Linked DNA regions of Solanum lycopersicum. The main gene of each other region encodes a partner of the protein of the gene in region 2 in a complex. Links are inferred from orthologs where the notes say so. Each region holds a gene or a part of one and is shown on either strand. Other genes may lie near its edges.

What was found.
Region 1: photosynthetic NDH subunit of subcomplex B 1, chloroplastic (region 2) and NAD(P)H-quinone oxidoreductase subunit O, chloroplastic share a complex: the UniProt entries of both Arabidopsis thaliana proteins name them as parts of the chloroplast NDH complex. The link is inferred for Solanum lycopersicum from reciprocal best matches to the Arabidopsis thaliana genes PnsB1 and NdhO.
Region 3: photosynthetic NDH subunit of subcomplex B 1, chloroplastic (region 2) and NAD(P)H-quinone oxidoreductase subunit N, chloroplastic share a complex: the UniProt entries of both Arabidopsis thaliana proteins name them as parts of the chloroplast NDH complex. The link is inferred for Solanum lycopersicum from reciprocal best matches to the Arabidopsis thaliana genes PnsB1 and NdhN.
Region 4: photosynthetic NDH subunit of subcomplex B 1, chloroplastic (region 2) and photosynthetic NDH subunit of lumenal location 2, chloroplastic share a complex: the UniProt entries of both Arabidopsis thaliana proteins name them as parts of the chloroplast NDH complex. The link is inferred for Solanum lycopersicum from reciprocal best matches to the Arabidopsis thaliana genes PnsB1 and PnsL2.
Region 5: photosynthetic NDH subunit of subcomplex B 1, chloroplastic (region 2) and ORR share a complex: the UniProt entries of both Arabidopsis thaliana proteins name them as parts of the chloroplast NDH complex. The link is inferred for Solanum lycopersicum from reciprocal best matches to the Arabidopsis thaliana genes PnsB1 and NdhM.
Region 6: photosynthetic NDH subunit of subcomplex B 1, chloroplastic (region 2) and photosynthetic NDH subunit of lumenal location 5, chloroplastic share a complex: the UniProt entries of both Arabidopsis thaliana proteins name them as parts of the chloroplast NDH complex. The link is inferred for Solanum lycopersicum from reciprocal best matches to the Arabidopsis thaliana genes PnsB1 and Pnsl5.
Region 7: photosynthetic NDH subunit of subcomplex B 1, chloroplastic (region 2) and photosynthetic NDH subunit of subcomplex B 4, chloroplastic share a complex: the UniProt entries of both Arabidopsis thaliana proteins name them as parts of the chloroplast NDH complex. The link is inferred for Solanum lycopersicum from reciprocal best matches to the Arabidopsis thaliana genes PnsB1 and PnsB4.

Annotation. Positions count from the first base shown.
Region 1 is NC_090810.1:1,414,845-1,419,067, reverse strand, and holds NAD(P)H-quinone oxidoreductase subunit O, chloroplastic, read left to right. Parts: upstream 1-1,547; 5' UTR 1,548-1,644; coding exon 1,645-1,873; intron 1,874-1,937; coding exon 1,938-2,014; coding exon of another isoform or gene 2,015-2,046; intron 2,047-2,248; coding exon 2,249-2,314; intron 2,315-2,418; coding exon 2,419-2,460; intron 2,461-2,570; coding exon 2,571-2,630; intron 2,631-2,997; coding exon 2,998-3,027; 3' UTR 3,028-3,273; downstream 3,274-4,223. Other genes in the region: uncharacterized protein, read right to left, coding at 3,714-4,223. UniProt on the Arabidopsis thaliana protein: NDH shuttles electrons from NAD(P)H:plastoquinone, via FMN and iron-sulfur (Fe-S) centers, to quinones in the photosynthetic chain and possibly in a chloroplast respiratory chain.
Region 2 is NC_090802.1:62,985,319-62,990,022, reverse strand, and holds photosynthetic NDH subunit of subcomplex B 1, chloroplastic, read left to right. Parts: upstream 1-1,524; 5' UTR 1,525-1,648; coding exon 1,649-2,233; intron 2,234-2,693; coding exon 2,694-2,884; intron 2,885-3,022; coding exon 3,023-3,280; intron 3,281-3,433; coding exon 3,434-3,539; intron 3,540-3,793; coding exon 3,794-3,879; intron 3,880-3,975; coding exon 3,976-4,141; 3' UTR 4,142-4,275; downstream 4,276-4,704. UniProt on the Arabidopsis thaliana protein: NDH shuttles electrons from NAD(P)H:plastoquinone, via FMN and iron-sulfur (Fe-S) centers, to quinones in the photosynthetic chain and possibly in a chloroplast respiratory chain.
Region 3 is NC_090808.1:66,281,910-66,286,688, reverse strand, and holds the start of NAD(P)H-quinone oxidoreductase subunit N, chloroplastic, read right to left. Parts: upstream 3,012-4,779; 5' UTR 2,742-3,011; coding exon 2,603-2,741; intron 1,112-2,602; coding exon 747-1,111; intron 655-746; coding exon 538-654; intron 444-537; coding exon 358-443; intron 1-357. UniProt on the Arabidopsis thaliana protein: NDH shuttles electrons from NAD(P)H:plastoquinone, via FMN and iron-sulfur (Fe-S) centers, to quinones in the photosynthetic chain and possibly in a chloroplast respiratory chain.
Region 4 is NC_090804.1:2,507,552-2,512,007, forward strand, and holds photosynthetic NDH subunit of lumenal location 2, chloroplastic, read left to right. Parts: upstream 1-1,623; 5' UTR 1,624-1,664; coding exon 1,665-2,147; intron 2,148-2,237; coding exon 2,238-2,336; 3' UTR 2,337-2,356; exon of another isoform or gene 2,357-2,451; intron 2,452-2,551; exon of another isoform or gene 2,552-2,690; coding exon of another isoform or gene 2,691-2,906; intron 2,907-2,999; coding exon of another isoform or gene 3,000-3,123; intron 3,124-3,214; coding exon of another isoform or gene 3,215-3,432; 3' UTR 3,433-3,628; downstream 3,629-4,456. Other genes in the region: casparian strip membrane protein 2, read right to left, coding at 2,691-2,906, 3,000-3,123, 3,215-3,432. UniProt on the Arabidopsis thaliana protein: NDH shuttles electrons from NAD(P)H:plastoquinone, via FMN and iron-sulfur (Fe-S) centers, to quinones in the photosynthetic chain and possibly in a chloroplast respiratory chain.
Region 5 is NC_090803.1:56,432,037-56,435,529, reverse strand, and holds ORR (NAD(P)H-quinone oxidoreductase subunit M, chloroplastic), read left to right. Parts: upstream 1-1,617; 5' UTR 1,618-1,727; coding exon 1,728-2,180; intron 2,181-2,291; coding exon 2,292-2,474; 3' UTR 2,475-2,634; downstream 2,635-3,493. Other genes in the region: uncharacterized protein At1g21580, read left to right, coding at 471-944. UniProt on the Arabidopsis thaliana protein: NDH shuttles electrons from NAD(P)H:plastoquinone, via FMN and iron-sulfur (Fe-S) centers, to quinones in the photosynthetic chain and possibly in a chloroplast respiratory chain.
Region 6 is NC_090800.1:5,016,413-5,020,925, reverse strand, and holds the start of photosynthetic NDH subunit of lumenal location 5, chloroplastic, read right to left. Parts: upstream 3,107-4,513; 5' UTR 2,832-3,106; coding exon 2,808-2,831; intron 2,657-2,807; coding exon 2,468-2,656; intron 1,788-2,467; coding exon 1,637-1,787; intron 1,432-1,636; coding exon 1,343-1,431; intron 589-1,342; coding exon 534-588; intron 403-533; coding exon 317-402; intron 1-316. UniProt on the Arabidopsis thaliana protein: NDH shuttles electrons from NAD(P)H:plastoquinone, via FMN and iron-sulfur (Fe-S) centers, to quinones in the photosynthetic chain and possibly in a chloroplast respiratory chain.
Region 7 is NC_090811.1:46,150,933-46,155,068, reverse strand, and holds photosynthetic NDH subunit of subcomplex B 4, chloroplastic, read left to right. Parts: upstream 1-1,335; 5' UTR 1,336-1,550; coding exon 1,551-1,622; intron 1,623-1,704; coding exon 1,705-1,761; intron 1,762-1,841; coding exon 1,842-1,977; intron 1,978-2,055; coding exon 2,056-2,111; intron 2,112-2,181; coding exon 2,182-2,253; intron 2,254-2,830; coding exon 2,831-2,959; 3' UTR 2,960-3,080; downstream 3,081-4,136. UniProt on the Arabidopsis thaliana protein: NDH shuttles electrons from NAD(P)H:plastoquinone, via FMN and iron-sulfur (Fe-S) centers, to quinones in the photosynthetic chain and possibly in a chloroplast respiratory chain.

The DNA.
Region 1 (4,223 bases), on a different chromosome or scaffold from region 2:
GGAAACAAATGATCAAAATTTTTCATAGACACTTGTTAAGACCTTAGAAATAGAATATGTTCTTCTCGCGAAGAAAAATTGTGAATTTTCAAGTTCAAACGAGCCCCAAAGAAGGCAAAGGCAAATTTTACCAATTTTTATGTGTTATATTTTTCATCAGAAATTTCCAAACAATGGCTGAAATTACTCATGGAAGTCCGTTAAGACCTTAAAATGGAATCAATTTGTCCTGCATGGAAAAATTGTGCATTTTCAAGTTTAAACGAACCCTAAAATAGATAAAGACATATCTTATCGATTTTTGTGTGCATAGCCCATGAATTTTTTTAAATCCAAAAATTTCCAAACAATATGGCCAAAATTTTTCATGGCGTCCGTAAAGAGCTAAGGAATGAAACGAGTTCATCCCGCGGGGAAAAATGATGTATTTTATAATTCAAACGAGCCCCTAAGAAGGCAAAGGTAGTTTTTATCGATTTTAGTGTGTTATAGCCCATAATATTTTTTATCCATAAATCCTAAAACAAAATGACCGCATATTTAATAGACGACCATTAAGACCTTAAAATGGAACCACTTCGTCCTGCGGGGAAAAAAGACACATTTTCAAGTTTAAACAAATTCCAAAGCAGACAAAGACAAATTTTATCAAATTTCTTGCTCTGGGGTTCAGTTGAACTTGAAAATGCACGATTTTTCCCTGCGGGACGAACTGGTTCAATTTATATGGTTTTAACGGATGTCAAAAGAATTTGGCCATTTTTTTATATTCCCGAATCAAAAAGAAAATCATGTGATATAACACATAAAAATTGGTAAAATATGTCTTTGCCTGCTTTGGGCACGTTTGAACTTAAAAATGCATCATTTTTCTCCACGAGACGAGCTAGTTTTATTTCTAAGTTTTTAAAGGACGTCCATGAAAAAATTCGACCATTTTGTTTTGAATTTTTGGGTAAAAATAATTTATGGGTTATGTCATACGAAAATCGATAAAATCTGTTTTTTACCTACTTGTAAACAAAAATTGAAAAAAATGAGGGTTTACCTGCTCTGGATCGTTTGACCTTCAAAATGGGGTGTTTTGATCGTGGTGACTAACTGACTCCATTGATAAGATCTTAACAATCATCCATGTTAATTCAGAAAATATGACGTCAGAGTTCTTATTCACCAAAAATTTCATAGACTATAGCACAGAACACTCGACAAAATTGGGGGTTTACCTACTCTAAACTCGTTTAACCTTGAAAATGGGTCCTTTTTAGCTGTAGTGGCCAATATGCCCCATAGATAAGGTTTTAACTATGTTAATTTTCGGCAAATAACGTTAAAATTCTGGATCACTAAAAAGATGGTTTGACCTTTAAAATGGTCGTTTTGACCGTGACAACCAATTGGCTCCATAGATAAAAGTTCTAACGGACGTCCACAGTAATTTTCAACAAAAATGACATCGAAATTCAGTATTCAAACTCGAAATCCTTAACCGAGAATAGAGTAATCCCATTTATTAGCAGACTAATTTTTGTTATTCAAATCTGGCCGTTGAAGAAGGGGGAAAAAGGGCATGCCCTTATCTACTTATATTGGCCACAACTAAACTAGTTATATCTCCAAAAAAAAAAAAAAAAAACTATAGAGATGGCTTTCTCTGCTGCATTTTCACACACCTCCTTCATATATTCATCATCTTTTTCACAAACAAGAAAAAATAGGATTAATTATAGCCCTTTTGTTATTAAAGCAGAAAATAGTTCATCTGAACCACAAGAAAATAATGAGAAGCCAAAATCTCAAGCAGCAGCAGCAACAACAACTTCTTCTAGTACAACAGCCACCGCAACAAAGCCTAAAAAACCGGTTTATTCTAGTGAGTAGTACTATTTCATGAAAATGTCTCAAATTTCACTAATTTTTTGTTTATAGAAGTTTAGCTTTTTTGTTTTGGTTGGCAGTGAAGAAAGGTCAGATAGTCAGGGTGGAAAAGGAGAAGTATCTGAATAGCATCAATGTGAGTTTTGTTTTTTTTTGCTACTTCACGAGGTAATGATAAGGTTTATGTACACTCTACCTTCTCAGACCTATTTAGTGGGACTTCTTTAATAAAGATATATATACTATAATTTTTTACCAATCAGCATTGTATCCTCTACATGCTTATGAATGATGATAATAATCTGAATTGGAAGTTGTGGACACCCTTGCACTGGAATTTGACTGTATATTTTTGTATAAATTTCTTCAGTATTTGTCTGTTGATCATCCACCTTATTACAAAGGTCTGGACTACATATATGAAGACCGTGGTGAGGTACCATTTTCTTATTTCTCTATAGATCATGTCAAAAGGGATAACAAAATACAATTTGGAACAACATGTTATTTATAAAATAAACTAATCATATATCTGTTTAGGTATTGGATATTCGTATATTCGAGACAGGAGAATATGCACTTGTAAGTATATTTTTTTCGAAATTCAATTTATTATATCAAAACACACCTCGAAACATAAATTTCACTGAATATATAAAGAGATCAAAGTTGAGAGTTTACCTATGCTGCAGATTGGATGGATCGGAATACCAACTGCACCAGCTTGGCTTCCAACAGAGATGCTAATTAAGGTAATTAGCCTTTTGAAATCATTCAAAATACTAAAGCAGCAATTTGCATCATTTCATGAGTACCTTTTATGGTACACTATTAAAAAAACCTCCTTGCACTTCAAATGAGAATCTCTGGTGAAAATTATTTTGGACAAACTCATAGCAATTAACTGCACGGAGGTTTGGGGAATGGACCGGTGGGTTGCTTATATGAACTTAAGCAATCCTCCCAAGTATCCGGAATGGACTGGTGGTTTGCTTATATGAACTTAAGCAATCCTCCCAAGTATCGTATCTTTATTTGATGATACAGTTTCCACCTTGCTAAAAAGCAAGTGGTCTGTTGCGTAATCACACATTCCCTAACCAATAACAAATTTTGCAGTCTGATAAGCTGGATTACGAGAGAATATAGTGGCGAGTCCACAGTTACAGACCAGTACATGCCAGACGAGTAAATCAAAGTGGAGCATCAGATTGACCGCTGCTCATCAGAGATGAAGAGAGATGAGATGGACACACCTCCAGAATTTACTTATTGCTAAATATATTATTATTCCTTAAAGATCACTCAATCAGCTTCTCAGTTGACACTAAATAATCGTTAAATTGATTCTTAAGAAGCTTAATATAACAATCCTGGACTATTCAGTAGGTAAAAGACAGCTTCCAGTAACAATCAAGAGACGTTCTAGATCAACTGAAATATAAATAAACAGCAACATACCCAATGTAATCCCACAAGTGGGGTCTGGGAAGGATAGAACTGAAATATGATATCAGTTAAACACAAAATACCTTCCATATTGAATAGAATGGAGTCGGTTTATAAATGAATATCGAAATGTACGTCTCAATGTACCATTAATTTTTTCATAAAATTATAGTGTACACACAATATACAGTAGGCAGGTAACTGGAAAGTCTCAGTGTACAGCAGCCTGTAAAAAGGGAAGGTGAAGAACAGGTGGTATGGAGTATAAGTTATCTGTATTTTTTTCTGTAAACAATGCTGTACTTGGTATCAATATCTGAAAGCGATGAGGGTGGAGAATGAAATGAAGAAATTAATGAAGAAATGATGCCAGGAAAAATCAGAACTTACAGCCTTCTCCTAGCACGCTTAGTAGCATTCATAAGCTCTGTCAACGAAGCAAGGGGTCGGGGCACTGGTACATGCATAGACCGGTATAATTTCCGCAAACTTGGGTTATAACTGTTTGACAATCCAACCGCTGACTCAAAAATACAATTCTCTGTTTTTCTGTGCAACAAGCTCTCTTTACTCCTGATGTCTGAACTTTCACTTACTGCCAAGGTCTTACCAGTGTCCACCACAACTTCTTCCTGCTTAAATGAAATAGCCTCTAACTTGTCGGAACATCTGATTACAGCATTTTCATCTGGAAGTATAGGCTCCTTCTCTTCATGTTTGAAACAAGAACCATTGAGCCCAAGCCTCGCCCTACCAAATAATGTTACTGGGGCTGTTTTGCTTGGAGGAGACAGATATGACTGCCTACAATTGCTAAAAGATGATGTCATCGACTTGGAGTGTCCGGTACAATCTTGAGCATTGCTCTTGACCATAGGTGAACTTGAAATCTCAAC
Region 2 (4,704 bases):
ATTATGGAATATAAATCCTCTAGATTGAAGATAGCTTTTCAATTTGTGATGGGTACTTGATTATGGAGTGGAATCTACATCTATTTATTTTTAAGCAAAATTTAGAAATTTAAAGTTTCATTTATTATTTTTTAGTACGTTTGATTTTATCAATTGTTTTCTAGATTATTATTATTTTAGATTAATAAATGAATTTTCAAGTACAATTTTTGTTTCATGAACATCTTCACATATTTTGATAAAGATCATAAAAAGGAAAGGAAAAGAAAAAGTGTAGCCTGTTTTATAAAAGAGGTTACCTTATAAGTCAAAATATTAGTGACATATCAAAGCTAGTTTAGTGAATAAAACAAAGCCTAAGAATTTACTTTTTTTTTCTCTTTTATGATCTCATTATCTCTTTTTCTATATATAATAATATTTTGTTTTTTCCTTTTGATCTCATTAATTGACTCTGTTTATAATCTTTACTTTTTTGACTTAATTGTTACACAATTTTGTGAAGTTCCTTTCCTTTTTCATGCATCTTTTTTTCTTCTTGATTGCATATTAAGCAATCGTTTTTAGGATAACTGTACTTGATTCTCCCTATGATGGAACAACAATATACATAATTTGTTATTTGCTAGCACTTTGTATTTTAATTAACACAAGTAGTATAACTCACGATTCTGACAACATAGATAGGATTTCTCCGTCTCAGACAGTAATGGAGCTAAAATTTTATCTAAGGGGTGTCAAAATCTAAAAAAATAAAATTATGTAAAAGCTAAGGAATATCAATATGTAATATATATATATATATATATATATATATTAAACCTAACTCAATTCAAAAAGCTAATTCAGGGCGATGTTTTTGAAAACGTTTTGGGGCGAGTTTCAGGGAGGGCCATATCGAAAATGCTCCAGGGCGTAAATGAAAGAAGTAAATTCATAAGGTGTAAGTCTTGAGCATAAAAAACGTAAGTTCTGGGCGTAAAACGTATATAGTGACGTTTTAATTTATTATTTAAAACTTTTTTTACTTTAAATTATATTTTTACTATTGGTGTAATAATATTTTTCAAATAGTAATTATAATATATTTTTCTTCATTATTGATTATTAATATTTATTGCAAATAAGAATTATAATCATTGAAAGATTTATTTTTATTTATTTTATTAGTAATAAAATTATAATATTAAATATACATGAGACTAAGCCTAGTAGACCCATGGGGCTTACGCCCCGTGTTCAGGGATTTACTCCTCGCCCTATACGATATAAATCACCTCACTTTTTAAAATATTGATTCAGAATACGAAAGAAATTCTAGTAAAAATTATTTTCTCTTTAAAATCAAATTTATGCAATTTAAATTAGTTAGATTATCAATATGGCTACCATACACTCGATTGAAAACAAAAACAAAAAATACTTTTTCATTCGTCATAATTTATATGATATTATTTAATTTAATATAAAATACAAATGATAGACATAAATTGAGACAAAAAATCGCTAATGACGAGGCAGGAACATAGTGACAACAATGGGGACCTACTTATCTCACTACCTTCACACATTGAAATCCAACGTCACCTTCTGCTATAGTTTTTAGCTATCCCCAAAAAAAGTTGCAGAATTTTATGATAACACTCAAATGGCTGCCTCTACTACTCTACTATCTAACTCCATTTCTCCTTTCTTTGCTAATCCACCTAATTTTCCTGTAACCCATGTCACAAATGTACCTTTCTTGAACCACAATCCATCTTTTCCCGCCAGAAAATCAGGGAATTTTTGCCTCAATGCCAAGAAAAAAAATCCATGGCTTGACCCTTTTGACTATGGTGATGATCCTGAAATGGAATATGGTTCACTTTTTTCTGAAGGGAAACAAGATGAAGATCCAAGGCCACCTGATAATCCTGATAACCCATATGGATTTCTCAAATTCCCAATGGGATACTCTGTTGAGATTGCTTCGTTGGGTTTGAAAATTAGAGGTGATGTTCGGAGATGTTGTTGTGTTATTGATGGTGGGGTTTATGAGAATTTGCTGTTCTTTCCAGTAATTCAGATGATTAAGGATAGGTACCCTGGTGTTCAAGTGGATATACTTGCAACAGCCAGGGGAAAACAGACATTTGAGATGAATAAAAATGTGAGGTGGGCTAATGCCTATGATCTGGATGATGATTTTCCTGAACCAGCTGAGTATACGGATATGCTTGGAATTCTTAAGGTTTCATGCCGTTCCATTAACATTAACATCGATTCATAATTATTTAAATTCTACGTTGCTTGGACTCTTCAAAAATGTTGATTTTAAAGTGCATTACTTTTGGAAGTATCCGACACACATTAATCTACGAGCAACATAGGTTTAAGCAAGTTGTTTCATTTGAAGTATGATTCTTGTCGTGCCTTGATGTATTAGCACCTAAAATTAGAGAAAGTAACAAACATTATATGGAAACTTAGTTAAATACGAAGATTTAACTATGGTTATCTTATGAGTTTGCAGATAATTCAAAAGTTGAGCAGACTACGTTTGGAAAAAGAATCGCTTAGATTAGCTTCAAGATGCTGTTCGTCTTGTTTAGTCAGATAGAGATAAAAGAATTTGCTTCCTGCATTATGAATAGAGAGTTATAGTCATTTTTTGGGCTAAGTTATTTGCTTTAATGCATGGTTTGTTGCAGAGTAGGTACTATGATATGATCTTGTCAACCAAACTGGCAGGGATTGGACATGCAGTATTTTTGTTTATGTCGACTGCTCGTGACAGAGTTAGCTACATTTACCCAAATGTGAATTCTGCAGGAGCAGGATTGTTTCTGTCAGAAACTTTTACACCAGAAAGCATGAACCTCTCCGAGGGCGGATATCATATGTAAGTAGATGTTCCAACTGATAACTTGATCTTTTTGACTACTGAATATTCATTTCAAAATAGGGAGTTTGAAAAGTGCAACAGTTGTACTTCGTCAAAGTTTGTATAAACATGTTTACATACACTTTTTTGAAATAGGTACCGTCAGATGGTTGATTGGTTGGGCAGACCAGCTCGTAAAGTACCTCGACAACCTTTACCCCCACTTAAAGTTTCAATCTCAAGAAAGGTTAGGGAGGTTGTAGAGGCAAAATATAAGAATGTTGGTGCACAGAAAGGCAAATATATTGTGATTCATGGGATTAAATCAGATTCAAAAGCTTCTATGCAGTCAAGGGGTGATATTGATAGCTTGCTCCCTATTGAGATTTGGGCTGAGATAGCAGAGGAGATAAGGTATAATGTCAGTATTTTATTCTCTGTCGGAAAAAGGGCCGACTCGACTACATGGTCATTTTTAGTTCTCGAATTAGCTGATTAGCCTTTTTTCATCAAATGCAAGAAAATTTGTGAGCTATACTAATGGTTTGTAAACTATCATTTGATCAGGGGAGTCAAGCCAGTTTTTGTCATTCCACACGAAAAAGAAAGAGAAAATGTGGAAGATGCAGTTGGTTACGATGCTAGTATAGTGTTCATAACCACCCCTGGACAGGTTTGTTTTCTCAACCACTTTCACAATATCAATGACCGATGATCAACCAGTGTTTAGTTGAACAACCATAAAAGAAGAAATTGGTTGGAGTCACAGATATAATGGCAACAATTTACAGTCATATTCAAGGAGGGTATAATCAAATGAAAGTAGTTTGCTTCTGTTGCATGTTTAGTGGCAGCTTTAACTATAGTCTATATACCGCGGGATGAGCACTAGAAAACTAACAGTCCCTGCATATTTCTCTGCCTTAGCTTGCTGCTCTTGTTGATGACTCTGCTGGAGTGATAGCTACAAATACAGCTGCGATACAACTTGCTCACGCACGTGGAAAACCAAGGTAATGTCATCTACTACAAGCTGTAGACGCGGAAATTTTTTGCACCTTCTGCTGTCTTTGTGGGGAGGTTGATATATCTTGGTTTTGTCTGTACAGTATTGGGCTATTCTGCTCTGAGGATAAGGCCAGAAGTTTTGTTCCCAATGCAGAAGCAAAGAAATGTGCAACTATTTCATCAAATACTGGAAAATTGGTTGATATTGATGTTGAAGCTGTGAAGAGTGCTGTTCAAATTTTCACCATGCCCCTAGCAATCTTCTAAATATTATACATCCTCCAGTTCTCTTACATATAGTAATTAAGTATTCCTGTAATTGTTACTAGTTCCATTTTCTTCTCAATTGTAATTAATAGAAGCGGAAATATATATATTCGTTCTTTTTTCTCAACAGAAAAGGAATATGGAGATATGTTATTTATCAATGTGACACTTTAGGACATTCTGATATCTATAAAGTTTTGCAAGATTGTATAAATATAAAGAAATATGATAGTTTTCACAATTTGCGATTTTCATGTTTCTAAGAAAAACACAAACTTAAAAAAATCTAAATGACATATCTAAAAGGAATTTCTAACTTCAAAATCAATCTGATTATGAATCATGATTTTGTATTATATATGCAAACAATAGTAAAAAGACTCAGCAGACGGATGGGCCACGAAAATGTGGAATCGGGTCCATATCATTGGCCCAATTTGTGCTCAATGTTTCAATTTTGAGAAAATTTCACAAATGGCAAAACACAACAATGGGCTATATAACTATAGTTTTGATAAATACGCTTTATATCTATATTTATGTTTGCTATAGAGGCTGTGCTT
Region 3 (4,779 bases), on a different chromosome or scaffold from region 2:
TTCAGTGTAGTCCCACAAATTGGGGTATGGGGAGGGTTGAGTGTATGTATACCTTAGCCCAACCTCAAAAGTAGAGAGGTTGTTTACTATTGACCTTCGGCAATTCTAAAAAGATGAAAAAAAAGAAAACCAAAAGATGCTATCTTTATTAAAGTACTTGTCCTGACTCTTGCATCTACAAGCTAAGAATGATGATAAAGTATGTAGCATTGACCACAGAAGGCTAAACTGAAGTAAATCCAGGTAGCTTTTGCATACAATGTTGTTTTAACCACAACGACAAGATCTCAAAGTTTCCTTATTTACAAGAGAGTTGATTGATAAACAAGAAAAAGGAAGATGAAAGGAAAATCTTACCAGTTACCACACTCTGCAATGACCCTCACATTAGGACGAAGTGTCGGGAGTAAAGCAAGAAACTGCAGCTCTGCCTTTGATAAGACCTGAACATTTTAGGTCAAACAGTTAACAAAGATCTAGTCAAAATACTGCTGATGGACTAATTAGATGATGTACACTTGAAGGGGTGGATTTAACCTTGGCTTCTATTATCCAAACCACTAATCCTTTAGCATCCGGAGGAAGTAAAGAAAGCCTATAATCAACTTCTGGAGGAAAATACCATCTAGCTATTGGTTGCTTACCAACATGAGCCTGCAACATCAAAATTTGCAGATGAGAGTCAATTAGACACTGCAAGTTAGTGTTTGAGAATAAGCATATCGTATGCGAACTGCTAAACTTACAGGGCAGACAGGGTGGAATTTGGTAAGAGTGGTTTCAGGGTCACCGAGGCCACGAGCCGAAAGGTCCAAGAAATGATATCCCTGGTACTTAAGACGTGTAAGGTAGCGTCCTTCATAGCCCCCTTCATGAGGAGAGTAAATTGCTATGGCTTTGTGTTCTTCCACATCTGATAACCATTGACCCAAATCAGGTTTAATGAGATCTCCACCTATGAAGTCCTGAAGTTCAATGTTACATCTAATTGCTCCTTTCTTTTGTCTTCCAACTGAATCAAGTCTTCTCGTTCTCACAGCCTTTGATATGCCATTTAATTGTACTCGTTGCTTCTGCAGACCATAAGACTGCACTGCCCCTTGATAACAGGCTGCATTTTGCCATTTTAATTCAGATTTCATGGTACATGACCGAAAGAACAAAGGCATCATAATGAAAAACATTGAACGTTAAGACATCACTCTCAAAATTTAATTAATGCGAACAGGATAACAGTATCATTTTGGTGCTGCAAGTGTGCATTTCCACATGTAAAAGGTAGAAAAAGTTATAAATAAGTCATTTTCCAAAGAGAACTGATAAGATTATGTTACAGGGAGAACTGAAAGGGTGCCTACTGTAAGCAACCTGTGAAACTCGAGAACCAGAAGTCAGTTTTTACCATTGTCAACAATGGCTAGAAACATTGCCAATGCACTGCTTAATGTGACAGTGCATAACAGTAAGCACAAACATTTTCAGCTTTATAGACCAATATTAGGGAAAGTCTGGATTTCATACCATGTAAAACAATAACAATCGGGAACAAATGTGAGTTGGAGCTGAATCTCTACTCACCCAAAAAACAAAACTTCAAAACATAATTAAGTAAATGTACACTTTCACTACCTACCCCACTAATATTTACATATAACAAGCTGGAATCACCCATTATGATATCAAGTCTTGATCTTTTTAGTTCTTTAACCATCACCCTAATTTTGTAACAACACATAATAGCAACTAAGCATACGTCTTCACACACACGCACACCGTGATATTGAACTATAAATCTGAAAATTGGGAACAAATGCGAGTAGAAGCTGAATCTCTACACACCCAAACCATAGCTTAAAAACAGAATTAAGTAAAGTGTACATATCACTCCCTACTCAACTAAATATTCACATTTAACAAGATTGAATAGTCCATTAAGTTAAGTCTTGATCTTTTCAGTTCTTTAACCATCCCCCTAATATCAAGATATTATAACAACACATAATAGCAACTAAACGTTATACATCTTCACACACACACACACACACACCATGATATTGAACCATAAAGCTGAAAATTGGGAACAAATGTGAGTTGAAGCTGAATTTGTACACAACTTCAAAACATTATTAAGTAAAATGCATACTTCCACTCCCTACATAACTTAATATTTACATTTAACAAGCTTGAATCAACCATTAAGTTATCAAGTCCGTAAAGATATTGTCATCCGGACCTAACTCAATCGCAAAACCATACACCCTCCTTCACGCTTAGGCCCCTTGAGAGCGAGAACCAAAAGCTCACACCGGGAATGAACCTGGTACTCATACCATGTAAAATTAAGTTTTAGGCCTATCTAAACTACCTCAAAGGTAGGAGGTGCTCAAGCCTTAACCACCAATATGAACCCCTTTTTTTTAAAAAAAAATAAAAATTAACACCCCACCTCACACAGATGCAATATTATTACAAAGTCTTGATCTTTTCACTTTTTTAGTGATCACCCTAATATCAAGATATTGTAACAACCCATAATATCAATTAAGCATTATAAATCTTCACACTGCGCACACACACAGAGAAAGGGGTTATTGGGGATGACCTGAAGAGGAACAGGGTTGGTCTTCAGTGGAAATATTGGGGCGCCGCCGGCAAGAAGACCCATTGCTAGTAATCAAGAACCTCCTAGTGCTGCTGCTGCTGCTGGTGGTGCTAGGGAAGGTGTAGGAGAGAGTTGTCATTTGGGTATTTTGGTGGCAGTGTGTGAGTGGTGGCAGTAGGCAGCTATAGCAACAGAGACTGTGGAAGGACCATTGCAAACTTGGACAAAGATGACTACTTTGTTCCTTGCCACTCAATAAATGTGCTGATAAACTTTACAATAAAGAAATTACAAATAACAAATATTTAAATATGCATAATAATATTAGCTATATAAATTTATGGGATAAGTTCTATATTTTAAAAATTGAAATGATGTTTTGGGGAGAATTTAAAATTTGAGATAACATAATCTCAAATTAGTTATTCAAATTTTAATTTTATATTGTATATTCAAACATAGCTAGAATAATAATCATAAGGTGAGAGTTCAAACTCTATTGTAACTTTTTTAATGAAATAATTTTGTGATTTAGAAAAGAACAAAAGCCAAACTTAAACCTAATTTATATATTTTGGATTGAAAATCCAAAATCCAAGTAAAGATTATGAAATTTCCAAACATCCTATTTAATTGCATAAGTTGTCCTTCAAATAAATTAATTTTTATTCTTTTATATTTTGAATTTTTAAAATAAAACAAAGTTAAGTATTCATTGTAAAATTCATAAGGAGTAAGAACGTTCACCACAGATAAAATATGAATTGTGATACGACCATTAACATCTAAAAAAGACAATGTTTCACAATAATTACTAGTAAAACTTTTGAAACACATAACAGAACTCCAAAAATAATTGGAGCACATATATCTCCTTCCTTTAACTAGAACACGTACTATGGTGCTTTGATTCCTGCATCATATTTTGAAAATAAATTTATACCTTATAAGACATAAGTTGTTTAAGATAACAAAATATAACCAACACTCAATATATAATGATTTTAAAATATAAATTACCAGTGAAAATATTATTTATATAGTATTAAAACATAAAAACTAAAACCAGCTCTGTTGTAAGAGGGAAAATAAAAAAGACAAACTTTAGGGCTTTTTATATAGTAATCTCCCTATCGAAACCTCAAAGATTTCCCATTTCTGCAAAACCCAAATGGAATCCAAAGAGGACGAAGCCTCCCAAAGCGGAGCAAACCCATGGAAATTCAGTCCATTTCAAGCAAAGATTTAGTTTTGTTAAGGCTTCCGGTGAAATCCCTTTTACAATTCAGGTCTGTGTCGAAATCTTGGCTTTCCTTAATCTCTATCCCTAAATTTGTGAAGACGCATCTCTTATTTTGTGCTAGTAACAAGGAGTTATGTTTAAGGTTGCTATTTATGTTGGCTAGTTATGTGTAGTGATTTACATCGCCATTCTGTAAAGGAGGTAATTGACTTGGATTATCCAGGTAAAATTTCCAAAGACTATCCTTGGCTGGTGGGTTCGGTAAACAGATTGATTTGTGTTGCCTATGTAACAAATTGCATGACTTGTTTATATGGAATCCGTCAATTAGAAAGTATAGCAAGTTGCCTAGTTATAGACTTAATCGATGTGGTGGATATCAAGTGGAGGAACCTGGGGATAGCAGATTTGGTTTTGCGTTGATGTGCTTCAAGATGATTACAACGTAGTGGGAGTTTGCCCTGTTTACAGAAATATGCGTCTATGTCGTGTTGAGGTCCAGATATATTGTCTAAGGAGTTTATGGGAGGCGTATTAACGGAGTTTAAAGATAGATTTTTTTTCCATTTTCGGGGTAAGCTTGTGTAAGGGAAACTTCATTGGATTGAAATGGGCATGAACATTTCTTCTATTGATTTGTGTGATGAGAAATGTGTAGAGATAGAAAAGCGCTGCAATTTTAACTTTAATGATTATGGTCATTTCTTACTAGGAGTGCTTAAAAGTGATCTTTCTGTGTTCTGTAATTACATGCAGGGTGCAGACATCTGGGTTATGCGGAGTATGGAGTTGAAGAATCTAGGACAAAGTTGTTTACTATCAAGTCTCATAATGAATTTATACCATGTTTGTAGGGTTTGCCCCTTTTTTGTCAAATGGGGACATTTTGCTTAAAATTGAATCACGTTTGGGGAAATATAATCCATAGAATGAC
Region 4 (4,456 bases), on a different chromosome or scaffold from region 2:
GTTTCAGGGGATATCTATCATCTCTCATTACCAATAGATATCAAGTAACTCTGTCCATTAAGGTTATGACAGATGGAAAGAATCACTCTAATATTTCTGGTCTATGCTGAATTTTAAACCTAAGATCTTAAGATTCTCAATCACTTTATTGACTACTAAACCACTCATTCGATGCTTGTAAGTTGATATGTTTACGTTAGGTTTTATGCTTTTTAGGAGTCTTTTAATAGCGTGTTTGACGAAGATACTTATTCAGATCAGCTATAATTTGATAAGTGCATCTTATCCAATAATTTTGAAAAAAGTACTTTGATTCAGTTTGTGTTTAACTAAATTATTGAAAAGTATTTTTATTAGTAATTTATATTTCACTAATATTTTCAAGATGTATTTTTACGCATGTCATAATTCAACGAGTAGCATTATTACTAATTTATAAGTACTTATTTTTTCGCTTAAAGTTTGATCAAGTATTTTTTGTATTTAAAATATTTAATCAAACAAACTATTAACGACCCTTATACTAATAGGGATTACAAAAGAATTCTAATTATTTCTTTTTTTCAGTTAAGTTATAATTCGTTTATATAATTTTATCATCCCAATCCATTCATTTCTCATCTATTATTTTTTGTAAATTAAAGGTGTTGCTTTAATTTGTAAAGCAATTATTATTAGTCCAACTATGTGGGAGCTAGAGACATTAGATATTTTAGCTGTAAAGCAATTATTCATGCACAATCAATAATGTATTATTTTTGCCTAAATTGCTTTATATCTCTTTATTTATGAAGATAATTTATTGATGATTTGATTTGTTATATCAAAAACTAAATAACATGTATTTCATAATTTTAAAGAAGATATAATTTGTTCACAAAAATACTCTCCAGTCATTATAACAAAAATAATCATTAATTGTCGTTAAATATGTATTTTTAGCGGCAATTGACACTCTTTGTATATGTCCATAAAATATTTAGCAACATTGGTTCTAATGATACTTAACTAATGCCGGTAAAGACTTTCGCACTCTTTATCAATGTCAATATTTAATGCCGCCAAAAATTATTTTTGTTGTAGTGTAGAAAAATAACATCATAGACTTCAAGGGTGTTTCTGTCAGTTTCATTATTTTATTTTGGGATAACTAATCCTGATACCATTACTCTGCTCTATGACGGTGATAACTTATTTCAGGAGTGTATAGTTGAAAAATTCAGCATAATTTAAATGGTTTTTAGTGTCTAATCTCAATGTTGAACTCAAATTTGTTTTGATACGAGAATTGAATGCCTCAAGGGAAAAACATAAGAAATTTGTTCGATTGATAGAAGATTGATCCCAACCCGTCAATGAAATAGGGCTACTAGTGTTCAGTCTTGATTGATTCCGAAAAAATGCGAACCAAGTAAAACTAGTTTCAAATTGAACAAGGCCAACCCTAAGTTAAACAAATTCCAAAATTGGGCCAACTAGAACAAAGCCTCTTACACCATTGACCCAACAACACCAAAATTTATTGGGAAAAAAAGAGGATAAAATATTTGCCAAGTCACCAAAACCTAAGGTCCATTTTGGATTTAGGGAAATCAATTAATATCCATCCAAAACACACACAAAAACCATCAAACACTCCTTAGATTTTTTTTTTCAACACAAAAATGACCACTTTCACAAATCCTACAACTTTGTTCCATCCAAAAACCAAAATAACCAAAACTCATCACACACAATGCAAGACACTACCCAAAATCCAATCTAACTTATCAACTAATGAACAAAACTTCTCATGTAGACGCAAACTCATCGCGACTTTTCTAGTCACTCCATTGACACTAGGCCTACAATTCACCCCTTTAGCATTAGCTGAAAATTGGGGCGTTCGATCATTCTTAAGAGAACATTTCTTTGAGCCTGGATTGTCCCCTGAAGATGCAGTAGCACGAATTCGTCAAACAGCAGATGGACTACATAGTATTAAAGAGATGTTGGAGACTAACTCATGGAGGTATGTATTGTTTTATATACGACTTAAATCAGCTTATCTTAAACAGGACGTGAAGAATGCCTTATCCAGGGTGCCTGAAAGTCGAAAAGAGTCTTATATTAAAACTGTCAATGAGCTTACTGATAACATGGCTGAGGTAACTAACTGTCCTTATTTTCCCTGTTCAGAATTTTTCGAGGTTCTATTCAGTGTTATGGATATTTCTATGTATTTTCTTCGTCTGCAGTTTGATTACTACATTCGAACACCAAAGGTATATGAATCTCGTGTATTCTATGAGAAGACGTTGAAATCAATTGATGAATTGGTGGGATTACTTGCATAATAATATCATCAGGCTCAAAGGTGAGTGAATGTTGTAGCAGAAAAATCGCGTTGGTTTAACAAATAAACTGATCGAAAAACGTTGAAATTATATACAATTTTATGTTCATTTATAAGCTTGGTCTGCGAGTTGATGAAATTGGAATCAAGATTACATACGAGTTTATGAGAGAATAACTATTAGTTGAATAAACGTGATATTTGAAGATGAAAACATTGAAGTAAGGAGGAAATCTTTTCATTATGTGATACAACTGATGAAAATCTTGATACAATGAAATGCAACTGATGAAACTAACATTTACAAACACAATACACACACAAAGGCTAGCAATTGCTAGTGTAGCCAACATCTTCAGCGCCTTGATAAAGCGATAGATGACAAAATTATAAGTATAACCATCAAGGCCATTGCACCAAAAGAACCGATAAGGGATCCAGCAGAACGTTGACAGAAATCTGTATACTGTTGGCATATCGAAAACCAGTTAGTTGAAGTGTTGCCATTGTGTGCCAAATACACAATCGCGGCTGCTGCTGATGCTCCAGATGTGAGGAAAACCAGCATTATCTTCAAAAGTTTTCGCAAAGTATAAAAGATATCAGTACAACATCATAACAAAGTACTAAATATGAAAACTTTAGCAGAAATCTAATGTATTACCGCGTCTAGAACAATGAGCAAAACTCTGCTCTTTCCTGCTCTACTTCTGATAATGTGAAAGATTGAAATAGTGATAGAAAGTGCAAGATATACACAAACTATAGAATTCGAAACCACGAAGAACCTTCAATCAGAATAAGCAAAACAAAAAAATGTGTTAGTTAACCTTTATACTGTTCTATTTCATGTAATAATATGTTTGCAGTTTTGCTTACTTGAACGAGTCGATATCATCATACTGAGCTTCAAAATTTACAATCTGTGTACTGAATGGAAGTGCTTGATCTGCAGTACCCATTGCCACAGCACTTGCTAAGGTTCCAACAAGTGCAACGATACGTAAAACAAGATCAAATACAGAGATTCCTCTGTTCACTCCATGAACTCTTTTGGCCTTTGATCCCTCTCCAGTTTCAATTGATACTGCCTTCATTTTTTCCTTTTAGCTCAAACTTTGAAACTAGAATGAAATTTTGTTGTTATGATTTGTATGTCAAGTGTGATGCGAATTTATACTAACAAGTGAACCAAATCATGTAACAGAGTTACAAATAGTATTAGGTTTTGATGACACATAATTAGTTGTTGCTTTTGCTTATTTAATCAATGAAATGTACAACTTTCTGGTTCATGATATTCCATAAAGTAGTTAAGTCTTGCATTAACTTGCTACACTTTTTACCTGCTCTACTTTCTTCCTAACATGTATTTTGAAAATGTATTTTTTCTCGAGAAAATGTATCATTATATACGAGAAATCGCGATATTAAAACAGCACACGACACGTTGCAATCCATTTGAGAAGGGTAGTATGTATGCATACGTCACTTTTAACTTTATGGAATTGAGAGGTTGTTCCCGATAAAAACTTCAACATTCTTTGTCCTATCTTTTTTTTCTTTTTTAATGTTTTGCAAACACACTTTATGATCATTGATTTATTATATTAGGTCAATTGATAATATACTAATAACAATGGTTATGGTCCTAAATGGTTTTTTGGATTAGGCACAAAGTTCTACTTGAACATAAGAATCAAACATGAGAAATTAGAATACTAGAAAGTAAAATAATGAATAGGTTGACTTTTTGATTAACAATGAGAAATAAAATAAAGAACAAGTTTATGGAGTAGGTCAAAATCTATCCAAAAAAAAGTTGTGAAACGTGTAATTTCATTTTTTCAATTCAAAATTTTAACAAAAAATTATTCCTTGGAAAAAGAAAATACTTATTTTCATTTATATTTTGACTATTCCTTGCATCATAATATAATAAAGATCAACAATCTAAATTTCAGACGTTGCTTTCGATATCGTTAGCATGTCCACCACCAATATCTTCGTCTTTCCAAATACATAGCAGATCTTGATTCATCGATAGTAAAACCAATGGAAATCAAATGAATGACCTTAACGATCGGTTTAGTAATAGGCACTCAAAAAATAAGAAATGAA
Region 5 (3,493 bases), on a different chromosome or scaffold from region 2:
CACAGCTAATTTATGCCAGATGGTGCCAAGTAGAAATAGTTTTTAGCTGTGTTTGGATGATCGGCAAAGAAGGTCTTCTGAAGTTAGTTTATCACCCAGTTTTATGTTTGGTTAGTTTATCACACAGTTTTATGTTTGGTTGATTCCTGGTTCCTGGACAAGCTTGTCCCTATCCCAAACTTGTTATAACTGATGAGGCTAGTCTCCACACTTCCCCATGAATGAAGTAGTGGGGACCCTTACCTCTTCTTGTTTGCCATTTTTTGTTTTTGGAATGACTTCCTTGATATAGCTATATTTTCAACCGGTGATTTTGCCAAGTATTTTTACCTATTATGTCACCTCTTTCTCTGAATGCAACTATTTCAGTATTATTTTAATATGTTCTTTACAATAGATGTAGATCATCACAAACACACAACACTCTAATCTTGAAACTTGTGAAATGGGTCATATTTCTAAACATGCAGTGTCAGAAGAAACACACCTATGTCTGCCCCGTTTTTGAAGCAACTGGCAACTGTCCCAAAGGTTCAAACTGCAAGCTTCACCATCCGAAGAACAGAAGGAAGGGAGCGAAAAGGAAAGCTTTGAGCGAGTTAAAGAATGGTCGAGGTCGTTACTTTGGCTCTCCGCACATTCATATTTCTGAGTGCATAACAGCTGGATCAGAGAAGCCTTCTGTCAAGGGGAATAATGACATATTCCTTGAAGGGAAGTTTGTCGATTTTATTAGCCTAGATGGTAGTGACGAAGAGGAACAGACTATTGATCAGAGAAGCGAGGAAAAGCCACTTTGCGAGAGTGGTCCAGCAGAGATGCAACTGGATGATCTCGATGAGCTTATTAAGCCCGTGCGTCTGATAAATAGGAATAGGTCTGTAGGTTCATCTCCCTATATAGATAGCCCAAGTGATATGACCACAAGCTATGTATCAGAGTAGCCTCACCATTGTAAATGAGGTTGTGTAATTAGGTTTATGTAGTGTTCTGCTAGTGCAGAGCAATTTTTTTTCTTTTTATTGTTAGGCTTTTAGTTAATTACTTAGGTATAGGTCTTAGGATTAGGCATATTTTTTGTTTCGCAAAATCTGTTGTGTGAGATAGAACAAGAAAACTGTTGTTATAGTGAGAGAATTAAAGGAAATGAAAATCTTATCCCCTATGTACAAGTCTTTATTGGAAGCTGTTTGACTTTTGTTCTTTAACAATTTTCAAGTCAATCTGAACTCTCTTATTGAGTCTTTATCACAGGTGATAATGAACCTGTAGATTCAATCAGCTGGTGTTATGTTTATTTTACTTTTGACAGGTAAGCATTCTTTTTTTGTAGTGATGAATACACGGATAAAAAAGATTGTTTTTAATAGATCCACCACCATACGAACTTCTGAACTTAAATTTTTTGGTTTTGTCTATATAAGTGAAACGCCCTGCATACTTATCTTTCATGGCTCGGATTCACTAATTAACCAAACCTTTAAACCTGGTTTAACAGGGATAAAAACGAAAGTAATTTAAGTACCTCAAAGTGAGTAATTTGTAATTAACCTTTTATTAAGCACAGCCACAGAACAAAAAAAATATAAGATAATAAAAAGAAGCCATATGTAAGCAAACATTTCCTATCCACACAAAAAGGAGGATATATTAATATCCCAATACCAACATTCAAGAAAAGGCCATAAAAATCACACATAACAAAACACTAGGAGAAAGGGGGAAACATGGCAGCAACTTCAACATACATGGCTTCAACCCATTTCAGCATGTTAAGTTGGAGCACAAAGGGAAAGAATAAACAACTCAAAAGGAGAAACTTCTTCTCAGTTTCAGCACAGCAAGCAGAAGTTGAAGAGTTAAAACTAAAAAAAGAGGAAGAAAAGAAAGAAGAAGAAAAACAAGAAGAGGGGGCAATGAAGAAGCCAAGGCCAGTAGAACCACAAATAAATGTGCAGAGCAAGAACATGACCAGAGAACATGGAGGACAATGGCTCAGTAGTGCTACTAGACATGTTCGAATATATGCAGCTTATATTGATCCCGAAACCTTTGCTTTCGATCAAACACAAATGGATAAACTCACACTCCTTCTTGACCCTACTGATGAATTTGTGTGGACTGATGATACTTGTACCAAAGTCTATTCTTACTTCCAAGAACTTGTTGATCATTATGAGGTAATGAAAACTTCTCTTCATCAATACAAGCTTAATCATGCAATCACTCTTGTACCAAATGGATTAGAAATAGAAATGCTAACTCCAATAACTTTTTATGATCTGGACCAGGGAGCTCCATTGACGGAGTACACGCTTCGCCTGATAGGTTCAGACATAGAGCACTACATAAGAAAACTTCTCTATAATGGAGAAATCCAATACAACATGAATGCAAGAGTTCTTAACTTCAGTATGGGGAAACCAAGAGTTGGGTTCAATTACAATGGACAAATGGAAGATGTAAACCAGTAAATTCAGGTAACAATGTTGACTATATTGAAACAATGAGTAGCAAAAAATGCAGTTGTAACAATGTATAAGAAACTTTCACCTTCTCTGTCTGTTTTGAGAACTTTTCCCAAATGGATTATACACAATACAAATGTTATCTACCTAATCATTGGTGGCAAAAGGGTATTTTATACTGTGGTTTTCATATTCCTAATCATCTAAGCATTGTATCAATACCCCCAATCAAAATTGCAATAGCTTCAAATTTGTTTGAGATTTCCTATATCTACACCACTCCATATATTTAAGCTTACCTCATCTATATTCAACCTACTTTATTATAAAATTATTCGTTTTTTTCCACAAAAATTTTAAAATAATATGTAAAACTTACTAGACTTTAAAACTAACACACTATATTATCTTACATACAAGATTATGTAAGAACAACTATTGATAATGTAAAAAAAAATGAAAATTATTACATCTTATAATTTAATCTTAATAACATAAGTATAAATTAATGATTGTAAAAATATATACTAGAATCTGTAACATAAACAATGGTGGCAGTGAGTCACTAACCGGAGCAATGTACACAAATATTTAATTGTGAAAAAGAAGAAGAAGAGAGACAGAATTTTCGTTCTTTTAAAAGGAGAGAAAATCCCTCTATTTATAGACAAACAAAGAGTAGCGTGAGAAATGTTTATTGTGCCTTATCAGAAAAGTTACAACTATTTAGAAAAGTTGCAACTCATCGGATAGGTCACGACATTTTATAAAAGTCACAACTTTTCATAAAAGTCGTAACTCTTCATTAAAGTCGTAATTTTTTTCATAAAAGTCGCATTTCTTCATTAAGGTCACAACTTTTCATAAAAGCCGCAATTCATCATAAAAATCACAACTCTTCATTGAAGTCGTAACTTTAAATAAAAGTCACAACTTATCATAAAAGTCGCAACTCATCATTGAAGTCGCTACTTTCATAAAAGTCACATTTTTATAAAAGTCACAACTTTTTATAAAAGCTGCAA
Region 6 (4,513 bases), on a different chromosome or scaffold from region 2:
TAATGTTGCTCAAACTAAATATTTACAAGCTCAAAAACATGGGTTTTGCTAAGGGCTGAAAACATTAAGAAAGGAAGGAAGTAAACAAGTGGTTCTTTGTTTCTAGGAATCAAGAGCAGCTAAAAATGACTACCTAATGGTCAAAATTCCAAAATGAGCATATAAACCTCTTTAATTTCATATACCCTTTTGCAATATGATAAGAGTACTATTGTAATCACAACTTCGCAGTCAGTATTTTTTTTTTTTTGAAAACAACTTTGCAGTCAGTATTCACAAAAGATATTCAGCTGATTGAGATTCCTATTCCACATACCTTTACAGTGCAAATGAAGAATTGGCTTCCGTTGGTATTAGGCCCTGCATTAGCCATGCTAACAATCCCAGGTCCGGTATGAACCACTGCAATTACACAAGGATTTTTCATCACAAAAGAACATTGAACACAATTGACAATCTGAACCAAAGGGGTCCATTGCCTTAACCACAAGGAGAAGTTTGAAACCAATTTTTAAGAAGAAAATCCAACTTACACTTGAAGTTTTCATCCTTGAAGGTACGACCATATATGCTTTTACCACCGGTTCCCTGCGAATAAAAAATTAAATCCATGGGGGGAAGATTACAATATGCCAGAATGGCAAGTGAAAATTTTCCAAATTATGAACTGCAAACACTAGAACACTCTTCAATCAATCTATGCATATTAAATATTGGAGCAGTCAAGTTGTGTGCAATAACACATTCCACTTAAACAGAATTATTGAATATGGCAGTAGTACATATTCCACTGAGCATCTTAGCTCATGTACTCTTTCACACATTCAACTACTAATCAAAGAAGACATCCCATTCAGAAACATAGAACAAGCAAAGTTACATCATGCAAGTTCATTACTTATTTTTGAAAAAAAGTTTATACCATGAAAATTGATAATTTAGAATACAGAGATCTTACGTTGCTACAAGCATCAGGGAAGTCTCACAAACACAGAACCGAAACAAACTGAAAAACAACCTTTTCTTCTCTGGTTTTCCATGGTAGAAATTGGAGCCATGGAGGATCCAAAAGATGAAGGATAAACCACCAAACAGGAACAAGAAAACACTAGGCAAAGAACTAATTCAGAATTTTGCATTTCTGTTAATTTAAAATCTTGCTCAAGGTGAAACAAGCAAAATAAAAGGCTAAAAGATAAGCACCCAAAACACACCAAGTGTACTACAGAAAATACAATGAACTGGGTGAAGGATGTGTGTGTCAAGAAGAATGCCAATTAGAGGAACAAATAGAAAAAAAAAAGAAAGAAAGAGAAAGCAAACCAGGTGTTGAGACACCTACATTTCCCTTGTCGAAATCACCCCCTTGAATCATGAAATCTTTAATAACACGGTGAAATGCAGAATCCTTGAAGCCAAAGCCCTTCTCACCTGATCGGAAGAAATCAATCCAAACTATAAGCTAAACATAAATGATAGAAAGAATTATATGCATGAAGCTCAAGCAACAAGGCAGAATATTATAGCAATAATGATAATGAGAACAAAAACTGCAATAAAGGTAGTAGTGATAGCAGCACTAGTCATAAGAATATCGACGACAATAATATTAATAACATAAAATCTATTAAAGAACCTGTGCAGAGTGCACGGAAATTTTCAGCTGTCTGTGGCACATCATCACCATATAATCCAATTACAATTCGCCCAGCAAGTTTTCCAACAGGATTCCCAATGCTAATATCAAAATAAACTTTGTTTGTCACTTTGGATTGCAAATCCGCCACCTGGATTTCAATAAATACATTCAGATCTATTAAAAACTTCAACCAAGTAATGAACAAATTATGGAACATTAGTCCCATACAAAAGGCAACATAACACCATGTTTGCTGAAAACTGAACCACAGCCATTCTAATCAATGCTCCAAGACTTAAAAATCCGCTTCCACAATTAACTTTGCTACTTAACAAAAGAAAACACTGCATTATATGACAGTCTTCTCATTTTGGGTCATATTTGACATCTCTATATTTTTATACCAATTTCACAAGTTGTAAGTATTAAAAGTCCTTGTTCCACTCACAAATATTATGAAGAACTAAAATTTCTCTTTTCACAACCTTCGATATAAACTTTTTTTCCAAAAGTTGTTCATAGTTTCTTCTAGCATCACCAATACTATATACAAACCTAATTTAACATATTCTCACATAAAATGAGACAACGAAGTAACACTCAGCCACACATGCCATCTGCAACCAATGTATTCATCTACTTATCCCTTACATTTAGCTCTAGAACTTAAACAGAAAAGTTATTCCTCACAGAAACCCTAGAACGCATATTTACTAGCTCAACGCTAGACATATTGACTCAATCATCAAATTTTCGGCGAAATCAAAGAAGAAACACACAAACAGTAGAGCAATCACTAATAAATTAGCTCAGCGAGCGAGCACAGACCTCCACCGCGGCTTGAATAGAACCAGATGAACCGCCGGTTTTTTTGTGAACCGAACGGTTTGAAGAAGTGTCCAGACGCAACGAACCACCAAATAAGCTTGACGATGAGAATGAAGATTTCAGCAACTTCGGATAAGCAGCATATGTAGGGTTCGCAACTCGTGGAACTGAAATTGAGCCTAAATTCGACTGTAAACGGAGAAACGTTAGTCAACTAAAACAACAACAACAACAACAACAACGCTCTATTTCCAAAAATTAGTGTTATTACTACAAATTAGAAGGCAACACTGAACAACAAAGCTCAACTGCAAATTATTGAGAGGTTAAAGAAACTCACCACTGAAGCAAATGTAGCTGCCATAGTTGCCGATTTCAGTTCTCCGGTACGGCGAGTTGAACTGCAATAGAGATAGAGAGAGAGAGTGTGTGTGGTTGGTGAAAATGAGGGACAAAGATGGTGTGTGACGGAGATGACGAGCCTCAACCCTCTTGTATAGACCGATTAGGTAAACATATCCATTACAAATGGTAAAAAAGTTGTTACTAGAGTATAATATTAGGAAATAGCCTAATTTTTACCATGGTTTAAAGTGCGAGATCGTTTGGTTACTGGATAAGGATTGAGTTACGTTACATAAGTTATACTATATTTGATAGCTCTTTTATGTCAAGATATAATGTTTTAACACACATAATTCTATGTTTCATTAGAAAATTAGAAAACTATTGAAGTAATACATGTATAAGTTATGAGTCAATCCATGAATTATTTTATGCGAGTTCGAGATGAAATAAGTTATACTTGAATAATTAGTACTACATGAATAAAAATATAAATTGACCACTTTACGTTTCACTCTCAATCAAATATACTCCACTTCTTTTTAAATAAACATTCAAATACTCTCTCTATATTTGTAGATCTAGAATGTGACTCTTCATCTTCCAAACAAATAAAATGAAAAAAACTTTCAATTTTGTGTTTTTTCTTTGCCATTAAAAGTTCGAAAACTCTAAACTTGACTTATTTTTTTTATTTTCTTTTTCTCCTCTTGTTTTCTCCTCTTTTAATCTGACGAGAAAGGAATGAAATTCTAGGTCTTCTCAATATATTTTTCAATGAAGTTGATGTTTGAGTACTCCCAATTTTGATGTGAGTTTTGTTTTATTTGTTCAAAAATCGTGTTTTCTAAAAAAGGATTCATTAGGTTTAGTTTCTAAAACTCCAAAAAATGAACATGTATTTGAAGTGTGACAAAATAATATTAATATTTTAGTTATTGAAGTCGAACAAAAATAAGACATTTTACCTTTGTTTTTCAATATTACTTTTTATTTTTTATAAAATTGAACATTTTAGTTTGAAATCATCTATTACCTGTGTATAATAATATTCTCCCATGATGAGCTCCACGTTGAAGCCTTCTATATATATATAATGTTATAAAGAGTACAATGTATCAAGTAGACTATGATTGTGGTAAGAGTACAAGCTTATGTAAATAAGTGTTAGGTAGTGGAGCCTGATTAATTTTAGGTTTTCCTATTTATTCTTTGTAACCAAAAATACTCTGATTTATTAATATAAATATACCTCACCGTCGTAGAAGTTTACTCACGGGGTTTTACCACGAAATATTGAGTTTTCTCTCTCTCTCTCTAGATTTCTCATCTCTTTCTCTTGAAAGTTCTTGTGTTCTTCAATCATCTAGTGTGTGTGCGTGAATCGATCCTAACAACTGGTATCAGAGCTAAGGAGATTCAACACGATCACAGAAGATGGATAGTTCGAAGCTTGGAATCAAGAAGTTTGATGGATCCGATTTCAGTTTCTGGAAGATGCAGATCGAAGATTATCTGTACCAGAAAGATTTTCACGAACCGTTGACCGGGGTGAAGCCGGAATCCATGACGGAGGAGAAGTGGAAACTCAAGGATCGTCAGGCTCTAGGGTTGATCCGGTTGACTTTGTCAAGAAACGTGGCGTTCAACATCGTGAAGGAGAAGACTACGTCCGGTCTGTTGAAAACACTGTCAAACATG
Region 7 (4,136 bases), on a different chromosome or scaffold from region 2:
CCTGTAGAAGACATAATCAAACTGGATTTTGCACCATATCTGAAACTTGAAGATCTTACTGATGACCATATTTTTACGAAACAACGCCAGTGTTAGAATTCACAGACACCATACCAGCAGAATGAGGAGTATGATCGCCGAGCCATGGGAAAACGAGTCGAGAATCAGGTGAAGCACCAAGAAACTTTGGCAATGGTGAAGGCTCATAACGCCTGCTGCTACTACTGGAACGACTATCACGATGAAGGGTATCTTGCCACGCCCATCTACCATCATCCCGTTTCGATCTTCCTTGAAAGATAACACAATTTGCCAGATCAATTCAAATGCTTAAGAAATGTCACAAAATTAAAATGGTATTGAACTAGCTGAATTTTCCTAAGATTAAACCATTGAACTAGCTGAATTAAATCAAACAGTAATGGCATTACTGTTTGATTTAATTCAGCTAGTTCAATGGTTTAATCTTAGGAAAATGTTTTAAGAATTAAGGTGAAGAGTGAGTAGAATAAGAGGAAAGATAATGAAAGATAGAGATGGATGTTAAGCAATTAGGAGACTTTAGTTAGTGATAATACTTTTTATTTATAAGTTGCTCTGGTTTCTTGATCTGCAAAGAAAAAAGAGGAAGGTGATGTGTGTGTGTTGAAAAAAAAAAAGTGGGGGTGAGGGGGGGGGGGGGAGTGATGGATTTTATTATCCTTTTGAAGTTCTTCAGGGCAAGAAATCGAAGAAGAAGCTGGAAATTTCTTCATGAAGAAGAAAAGACAATGGAGTCATGAAAATTGTGAAAATGGGAGGAATAAGGTTTTAGCATATTTTAATTAGATGGTTATTTTTAAAATTGGGTCAAGTGGGCGGATTTAGTTAAAATAGGTGGGTTTAAAATTATTTTAAATAATTAAATTACAATCAATGGTTGAGTGCCACGTAATTAAAAATTATTATTTAATTATTTTTAATTTTGGTTTGTTAATGAATGGGTAAATTTAGACCCAAGGGTGGGTGTGAAGGGTATTTGGGGGCCAATAGATGGATGGAGGGTAATTGTGTACCATTTTCAATATTTCGAAGGTATTTTAGACCCTTTTCTATATTTTTAATTCTTTTTAGTTATAATTTTATGTTAACATTAGTAATGAAAATACATTTTTTATGTATTACTTATTTATATTTTAGTTATATCTTCTATGATACATAAAATAATATATAATTTTTTGTAATTTACACCTACATTAATTATAAATGTTTCTAATAAGTTTTATGCTAAATAAGTATTGAGTGTAGCAAATATCCCAATGATTTAAATTCCAATATCCAAGATGCGTATGATGTGTGGTAAAGGAAGAATAAGACAAAACCAAAATTGTTTGAGAAAATAATAGTTGTGAGTAAGCAGAAGAGTGTGTTTTTCTTATGTGTTTTCTTAACCTTATAACTCGGATAAAGGGAATAGATGAACCGTGTGTTTTTCTTATGTGTTTTCCTAACCTTATAACTCGGATAAAAGGAATAGAGGAACCCAAAAATAACTATCCCAAACTCAAATCATGAGCTTCACATTCATCAAACCCTCTATTCCTAGTCCTACATCGGAATTGCTGCACCCTTTCAGTAAATCAGTTAAAACCATTACTTGTATCTCAAATTCAATCTTTTTATAATTAATTCTGCTTAACTAATTACCTCTTTTCACTTTCTCAGCAGCTAAGGCATTGTCCAACCTCACCTTTTGGAAATAATGCAGGCAGGAGGCACCAGGTAGGTTTTACATGTTATTATTGATTTGAACAAGTATGGTTTGCAAAAGCATAATTAATGCTGTGGATTTCTATGATTAGATTGAAAGAAATAGGGTGAAGGCACTCCCAGATTGGCCATTAATGGCAGTATTAGTTGAGCATATGGAAGGTCAAAGAGACCTCATAACTCATAAATCTGTTTGGCATCTTAGTGATGAAGCCATGAAGAATGTCTGTGAGTAATCATTACTTACTAATTCATTTTTATCATTCTAATTCAAAATTCTCACACCTAATTTTTTCTCCATTGTAGATACATTTTACATCATGTTCACTGTTTGGGGATGCTGTTTCTTCGGTTCTACCAAAGTAAAATTTTTGAAATTAAACTTCATAAAATTGAGTTGTATCTCATTATTATGTGTCTTTTTTCTTTTAGGATCCTTACTATGATTCAGAACAATACAGAGGAGATGGAGGTGATGGTACTGGACATTGGGTCTATGAGAAGGTACAGTTTTTCTTTTCCGTTTTCTATCAAGGTTAGAAAATCAAAAGGGAAAAATACCCTTTCTTGTTCGCGACAGAGAAATGTTTATAGGTTTCAGTTAATATGTCGTTTGGTTGGGAACAAGTTATATTAGGATTAATTATACGAATTAATTATTTGATCATGTAAATGTGATAACTTATCATAAATAATCTCAGAACTGCTTAATACCTCCAACCAAACACACGGATAAAACATGGATTATCATAGTTTATACCTCACATGCGAGTTTTAGCTTTGACAGGTGAAAAAAAGGTTTTTAAAGAGTTAATTGTAGTCTAAATCCTGAATTCTTGATGTGAATGTTTTTTCCATTAAAAGAACATCTCTCGTTTCTAAAATAAAACTTTACTGAAATAATTTTATGCATATAAATGTCAAAATCATACTAGCTAGTTTCGAATTGTCTGAATTTGTTTCAACATGAATTTTGGCACCTAAATGTCCTATTCAAGATATATAGATATCTTTACAAGGTGGAATGCCATGATATTTGTGTAGTGAATGATACTACAAATCTGATTTTGTGATTGTGCAGCAAGAAGACATCGAAGAAGAAGCGAGAGCAGAGCTGTGGCGTGATGAACTGATAGAGGAGATTGAACAAAAGGTTGGGAGTCTTCGAGAGCTTGAAGAAGCTGGGAAGAAGGAACAGTTGGTCAAATGATCATCTTTATATGTGCTAAGAACAAATTTTATGATGCTTCCCAGTTATGTATATACAATATATGATTTCCAGTTCTATACAACATGGCTGTTTTGCCTTAATTCAGTGTTATGTTGCAAAACTCAGATTTCCCCTTCAAAATGTTGTCTTAATGAACTGTCACAATGTCAACATTTGCACTGTACAGAATCAGTTCTCTTTTTGTATTTGCTACTAGCAAGTCATGCAATGCTCTTTTAACAAGATTCATGGCATACACATCACGAAATCAAAAATTACTTCAATAATAGCCAAATTGTTAACCCTTTGGGTTGGATCAGTAGTTTGACCTTGGGACTTGCATGTTTGAAACCCCCTGCCAGCGAAAGCAAGAAGTTTGCCTTTTGGGTCGAACTCATTGCAGCAGGCTTGCAAGTAGTGAGCTATTGCATAAGAGCGAAAAAATTACCTTGTGCGCACCCAAAGAATAGTGACTGTGAAATCCCGTTGTCTTCAAAAATAAAATTAAAAAATAATAATAATGGCCAATATGTTCCCTCCCTGGTTGAGGAGATTGGAAAGAATTTTGGCTTAAAGCTACAAAAGATATCATCTCTGAATTTACATTCAAGACTGCATAGTTTTTTATTGACTGATAAACATTGTACAAGTGGCAATTTGTGTACAAAAAATAGTGATACGTAGGAACCATGTCTTTGATAGATCTCCAGAAAGAATTGAAGATGTTGTTAAAACATTACAGGGAAAACTGATAAAGAGAACCTGCTCCTTTGATAAAACTGAGAGATAATAATCACTCAATTTTGAATAACTCACTTACAAATTTACTCAATTTAAAATGATTTACATAGAAAATCACTCAACTTTATTTGATAACTCAAAAGTTACTAAATTTAATAAAATAATTAAGAAGTCACTCAAGAAGAGTGTTGGAATCGAAGACGAGAGGTAATCACTAATTATGTTAGTGTAGAGGCATTTTAATATTAAAAGAAATTTGCATATTCACATTGTCATATTGACCGTTTCATTGTTTCATTTATACATACGTTTGTGGATATTCATTGACAGAATATGGGAGTAACTACATTAATCTATTGGAGTTAGTGCCATATGCATTAGTACATTTCTCATTGTCATATGCATTTCTCAATGTCATTTGTATTGCAGTTATGCA